Nothobranchius furzeri: one gene and its partner. The protein of the gene in region 1 binds, or shares a complex with, the protein of each later gene. Links are inferred from orthologs where the notes say so. Each region holds a gene or a part of one and is shown on either strand. Other genes may lie near its edges.

Region 1 (3,826 bases):
ACCAGATAAAACCTCTTTTACTTCTACTACTATTTAGTTGACAGTTTATTTTTTCTCGTCGTCGTTGTCATCTTCCTCCGCTTATCCGGGTCCGGGTCGCGGGGGCAGCATCCCAACTAGGGAGCTCCAGACCGTCCTCTCCCCGGCCTTCTCCACCAGCTCCTCCGGCAGGACCCCAAGGTGTTCCCGGACCAGATTGGAGATGTAACCTCTCCAATGTGTCCTGGGTCGACCCGGGGGCCTCCTGCCGGCAGGACATGCCCGAAACACCTCCCCAGGGAGGCGTCCAGGAGGCATCCTGACCAGATGCCCAAACCATCTCAACCGGCTCCTTTCGAGCCCCTCCCGAAAATCCGAGCTCCTCACCCTATCTCTAAGACTGAGCCCGGCCACCCTACGGAGGAAACTCATTTCGGCCGCTTGTATTCGCGATCTCGTTCTTTCGGTCATTACCCAAAGCTCATGACCATAGGTGAGGATTGGGACGTAGATCGACCGGTAAATCGAGAGCCTGGCTTTCTGGCTCAGCTCCCTCTTCACCACGACAGATCGGCTCAGCGTCCGCATCACTGCAGACGCCGAACCACTCCACCTGTCGATCTTATTTTTTCTGTTTTTGAAATGTGTTTAAAATTTAAATGGCAAAATAATCAAGTCTGTCATTTAGACATTGTGTTTGTCTGTGTCAGCTGGGTGAATTATTATTTTTTTCTGCTTCGGTTTGATTTAAAAAGCTTCTTTTATTTTGTTACCAGCCGGAGGGTCAGCTCGGCGAAGCAACGAAGCAGAAGCAAAGAAAGAGAGCAAGGATGGAGGTGATGGGGAGGAGGAAGCTGAAGAGAAGGTGATCTTTGTTCACTATGAGCAGAGGAAGGTGATGCTGTCGCAGCTTCATCCCATAGCGAATGAAAACCCAGAGAACAAAAGTGAACCCTCGACTGAGCTGAGGGAGGTACGAGACAACGTTTCCTCACCGCTCAGAACTACCTTCATTGTTTAGAACTACAGAATGATTATCTGTTAAATAAAAAATGCTAAATCTGCATTTTTCCTTTCTTTCTCCTCCTTTGTAGATGTTTCAGACGGTGGCGCACAGTCAGCCGCTCTTCTTCCTCGACAAATACGACGACGGGCTGCTGAAGTCGACTCACTGGCAGTCTGAAGGCAGAGAGGCCAGCATCATCGTGGAGCTGATGAAACAGGCCTCAGTGCCTCTCTGCATTTTCATCAGCTGGCTGCTCTCTGTGTGGACGTGGACCTGCAACATCTGGTGAGAAGAAGTGGTGGCGGGTCCCTCAACGGTTGTTTTATTTATTCTTCTCTAGAGTTTGTCCAAAAGCAACAGAAAGTCCTTTCTGACATCTTTAGATTTTATCTGAGCAGAAATGCAAAATACGCAAATATCATCAGATCATCTCAGAAACTAACATTCATTGTTGTTTAGTCTGCATCTTTATTCTGTTTCTGTCCAGGATCTTCAGTGTTTTCCCGCTTTGCTTCCTGTCCTCTATACTGTCCACTTTTATCCAGCTCAGCTACAGGACAGAGCACATGAGGACGCTCAGTTCGCCTAAATCAGCTGAAGGTCACACCCAGTTCATGAGGTAAACCTCAGAGTCAAACTGCTCAGCAGTAGCTCAACAGGTTGAGCGGGTTGTCCAGTAATCGGAAGGTTGCAGGTTCGATCCCGGCTCCGGACAGAGAATTCTGCTGTTGTGTCCTTGGGCAAGACACTTAACCCACCTTGCCTGCTGGTGGTGGTCGGAGGGACATGTGGCGCCTGTGCTCGACAGCCTCGCCTCTGTCAGTGCGCCCCAGGGCAGCTGTGGCTACATCGTAGCTCATCACCACCAGTGTGTGAATGTGTGTGTGAATGGATGAATGATACACTGTAGTGTAAAGCGCTTTGGAGTCCTTACTCTGAGAGGCGCTATACAAGTGCGGGCCATTTATCATTTATCATCTGTCTTAGAATGAAGCAGAACAGCTGTTATGGGACAACGTAACATTTGGTCAAGTCATCACACACAGTTGATGTTTTTGGACTTCCTGTTTGCCCAGACGTGCTCTCACATCTGTGCATTTCTGTCTGAAGGAAGGCTAACATCCTAGTGTCGGTTCTGGTGGACGTGGCCCTTGGCGTGTTTCTCATGTCGTGGCTCTACAGAGACGATCACATCTCCATGCTGGCCGACGCCCTGGTTCCTGCTGCTGACGTACGTCCGAAATCTGAACCAACAGTGTTTTGTTCTTTTTATCTGCATGATTTTCACACATCAGGTTTGTTCATTAATTGCATTAGTAATTAGTACTAGCTGATGACCAGTGATGTGCAGGAAGAGTAATAGAGAATTAAAGGCCTATCAAATCACAAGATCGTGTGAACTTTTGGAACACGAGTGGAAAATAACTCTCAGCTACTAACGCATAAGATTAGCTCATTATGTGTAAAAGCTGCAGTTCTAGTTATTTATGAGTTAGATCTTATTGATTGGCTGTGACGTCCGTTTTTAATTAGGCCGACTACAAAAGCGAATCCATTGCAGATGACCACCTAATGCATCATTTCTAGGAGGAGCAGCACATGTTTTAGGTGCTGCTTTATTTCTCCTACTCAAGCAAACCACTCATTAAATGTTGACAGAAACACCCGTGAAGTAAGCAGGTGAGACCAAGCAGCACTTATTGAAATCTGATCGTGCTGCACAAACGAAGGATGGACACAGCGAGGACAGAAGTGACAGAGCAAAGTAAAACCTGTTTTTTCTTTTTGTCCTTTTAGTGAGTTGCTGATTCACTAAAATGGAACAAAGTCACTCCAGAGGAAACATGTTCAGGATTTCTAAAACAATAAACATTTTCGTATTCCCAGTCTGCACCCTCTTACTTTTACTTTTTTTACTAATGGGAAATAATGATAATTGAAAAGAAAAGAAATAAATAAACAAGTTTCTGATTTCGGTCCTGATCGATGGACTCCACTTTCTCCTCACTGTCTGATGCGATGGGCATTCCTCAAGGAAGCGGTGCACCGTTTAAGAGGATTTTGATTGAGAGTTTTTAATCTGAATGTATCTGCAGCAGGATTCTAAAGCATCTGACAATGTGTTTGTAAAACTCATCACTTTAAGAGACGATGGATTAGATTAGATGGATGTTAATCATCTATAAATGGTGCAGAAGTCTGTTCTTGAGGGCTGAAGCCTAATTGTCATTTATTCACATCCCTTTGGTAAATTTGGGCCAGAGTTAAATCAAAATACTGCATGTACACACACACACCCTTCCTCATTTTGGTAGTGGGTGTAAACACATAAATACTCCAGGTGGCTCTTCTTCTGCCTCATCAGGAATAAACCCAGTGATGAATCATTTGCAGCAGACCAGATTACTGTAATTTCCGGACTATAGAGCGCACCTCAATATAAGCCGCACCAACAATAAAAACGGTTTTCTACACACACACGCTGCACTCAAACACAAGCTACGGCGCAGCAGCCGCAGGTCTCCAGCGCACAGCGCATGTACGGCCATAACATGAGATAATTAGACAGAAAGACGCTACACGGAGGTTTTTCGTTGTTTTAATTCAACAAAAGGAATTTTAAACACGGGTGAACGTGCCTGCAAGTTTAGAAAAGAAAACAGCGCTGATAGCATTCATATTTCTGGATGGTTATACAATAAAAACAGAGCTGACACGTTATTACCGGTCATTTGCATGTTTAGAAGAAAAGAACAGCGCTGACACAGCATTAATAAGCCCTGGATGATTAGAAAATAAAAACTGCACACAAAACATGCCTGGTTAGTAAATAAAACACAC
Region 2 (2,779 bases), on another chromosome or scaffold:
ACCAGGCCACCCAGATATGTAAACAACCTATGCTACCCGGCCCGGGCCGACCCGGTACAGATGGGAATGGCCCAATAGGTAGATCTAAAGGGTCCGAGTTGGACAGCCCTGAATCATATGCTACGTATCACAAACCTCTCATGCTTTTATCAGACTGTGGTTCTTTTTACAAGTGTCACTGTTTAACAGAGAGCCTCCCCCCCCCCCCAGGTCGGAGCGGTCCAGCTGAGACTAAACAAACCCTTCTTCTTCAAGACAAAAGGAGAATGGCAGTCGCCTCGGCCGGAGTCTCCGCTGACCAAATTTTCTCAGGGCAGAAACCCTAAAAGCAAAAAGTGTCACTAAGGAAGGACGTGAACGTACGATGAAAGCTGTTCTTGTTTGTTTCGGAGCATTTTGGGTCAAAGGCTTAAAAGTTCGAGCTTTTTTAAAACTTGTTTTGTTTTGCATGAAAAGATGATAGTTTGTGTTTGAAGTACAGGCATGTTTGCTGGATTGTTCCTCCCTGAAGTACGTTCACATTTCATAAAACAGACATTAAATAGCTGTTCTGTGTGAAAATGTTTTTATCAAATAAAAGTAACTTATTCCAATAAAGTTGTTTATTCTTTTCTGCAAGAACTGGAAAAATCCAAGAAGTTCAGTTGTTAAATCGGTTACATTTATCCATTTTATAACAGGAGTTTGTTCAGTAGCAGTTAGCGTTTACACGGACTCGGTTACTATGAGTCCTACCTGCAAGCCTAAACTTCCAGACAAGTAAAACCCAAGTCTAGCAGACTTTAACAGACATGAAATAAAGAAAATAATGTTACTGAAGTTGGTAAAGGAGGTAAAAGTGCATCAGAAAACATGCCGTGGGTTGTTTTCAGAGAGCATCCTAGTTGTGTCTGAAGAGCTTGATCCCCATCCAGCTCCAGAGATGGAAGAAGACGTAGACGGGGATGGTGACCGGCAGCAGCAGGCTGTAGAAGCACAGACTGTTGCCGCTGGTGCAGCCTTGAGGGAAGTTCTCATCCACGGCTGCAGAGTAGAACAAGCCAATGAGTGACACGATGGGGACCAGTCCCACCATCACGGACAAGGAGAGCATTCTAGCAGATTAGCTTTACAGTTTTTTTCTTTAAAAAAATAGCAGTGCTCAATCGGTTTTCTGGCAAATGAAGGTCTTTGATAGACTTTCTGTTACTGTGCAGGTGGATTAGAAGCGTCTGTGTCCTTCTGAAGGAGTCTGGCCTCCTGGGGGATCATGTTGGGGATGCCGTCGATGATGGGATAGGCGATGCCAAGCTCCTCATTGATCAGCTCGTTGGTATTGGCATCATACCTAGAGGAAAGAAAAAGAACATCAGTTATCTGGAAAACAGATTAGACTGTTTTATGCGTTGGTTCAGTCATTTCTAATAATGAATGCCTAGGTCGCAGGTCGATGATAGACTTTGAAGTCGTATCATCCGACCTGCGGCCGTGTGTTTTGGACACCAGAGTGAAGAGAGGAGCGGAGCTGTCAACTGATCACCACCTGGTGGGGAGTTAGATCAGATGGCAGGGGAAGATGTCGCGTAGACCTGGCAGACCCAAACGCATAGTGAGGGTCTGCTGGGAACGCCTGGCAGAAGAACCTGTCAAGACGGTCTTCAACTCCCACCTCCGGCAGAGCTTTGACCGCGTCCCGAGACCAGTGGGGGACATTGACTCCGAGTGGGCCTTGTTCCACTCTGCGATTGTTAAGGCGGCTGTTGCTAGCTGTGGTCGCAAGGTGGCCGGAGCCAGTCGTGGTGTGGAGTGTGTCGAGTTTGGAGGCAGGAGAATCTCGTCTCTGCTTTTTGCGGATGATGTGGTCCTCCTAGCTTCATCCAGCTCTGACCTTCAGCTCTCGCTGGGTAGGTTCTTGCTGCCCCCGCGACCCGGATAAGCGGAGGAAGACAACGACGGTGTGTGTGTGTGTGTGTGTGTGTGTGTGTGTGTGGGGGGGGGGGGGGGGTAGATTTCACCTTTACACTGCCTCTAATGCAGCTTTGACTAATTCTTAAGTAGGATGTATTCAAACATAGTACATCCTTGTTTAATTGATGTAAACGCCCAAAACAATTTCCCAATGATGTTACTAAGCCAGTGAAAGAAATCCCTTAATTTTTGATAAAAATCCTAATAAAAAAGATCAGTTAGTATGAAAGGTGTTAAAAACTGCTGTGTCTCAATGGTCTGGCTTAGTTAGCAACACCATTTAGGAATGGTTTTGGGTATTAAAATCAATTAACCTGGCAGCTTTTGAAAGAAATCACTTCATTTTTTATTTAAATCCTAAAAATAATGATCAGATCTTGCGAAATGTGCTAAAAGCTGCAGTGTCGCTGACCGGGCGAACCAACGTCTGTCGAAGATCCAACGTCCAACTACAAGCTAACTTCACCGCGGTACAGGACAAGCGCGTGCCTACGTCTTAATGCTTTTATATGAAGTTAGAAAGGACGCCGCTAGTTAAAAAACTAAAATCAAAACAGATGAACTCTGAAACACTTTGTTGCCGTTACCGGAGTGGCTTCTTGGACAGCGGACACACCAGGAAGTCCAGCAGGGAGGAATCGAAAGGCGGCTGCACTTCGTCCTTGGCGTCGGTCAGACTCCTCACCGGGACTCGGGCGGACGTTAACGACGGTCTAAACGCGGCTCGTTTCACATGACGATCAAAACGAAACGTTTCTGTCACGAGCCTGCTCACAACATTCCTAAACATGACCAAGTCCTGCGCGGCGAGCTCGGCGAACTCAACAACAGG

Evidence for each region.
Region 2: pigq (region 1) and phosphatidylinositol N-acetylglucosaminyltransferase subunit Y share a complex: the UniProt entries of both Homo sapiens proteins name them as parts of the glycosylphosphatidylinositol-N-acetylglucosaminyltransferase (GPI-GnT) complex. The link is inferred for Nothobranchius furzeri from reciprocal best matches to the Homo sapiens genes PIGQ and PIGY.

What each region holds. Positions count from the first base shown.
Region 1 is NC_091745.1:17,743,681-17,747,506, forward strand, and holds part of pigq (phosphatidylinositol N-acetylglucosaminyltransferase subunit Q), read left to right. Parts: intron 1-755; coding exon 756-952; intron 953-1,073; coding exon 1,074-1,270; intron 1,271-1,472; coding exon 1,473-1,604; intron 1,605-2,095; coding exon 2,096-2,216; intron 2,217-3,826. UniProt on the Homo sapiens protein: Part of the glycosylphosphatidylinositol-N-acetylglucosaminyltransferase (GPI-GnT) complex that catalyzes the transfer of N-acetylglucosamine from UDP-N-acetylglucosamine to phosphatidylinositol and participates in the first step of GPI biosynthesis.
Region 2 is NC_091744.1:85,184,325-85,187,103, forward strand, and holds phosphatidylinositol N-acetylglucosaminyltransferase subunit Y, read right to left. Parts: upstream 1,094-2,779; coding exon 881-1,093; 3' UTR 585-880; downstream 1-584. Other genes in the region: triadin, read left to right, coding at 211-345; pyurf (protein preY, mitochondrial), read right to left, coding at 1,186-1,327, 2,535-2,737. UniProt on the Homo sapiens protein: Part of the glycosylphosphatidylinositol-N-acetylglucosaminyltransferase (GPI-GnT) complex that catalyzes the transfer of N-acetylglucosamine from UDP-N-acetylglucosamine to phosphatidylinositol and participates in the first step of GPI biosynthesis.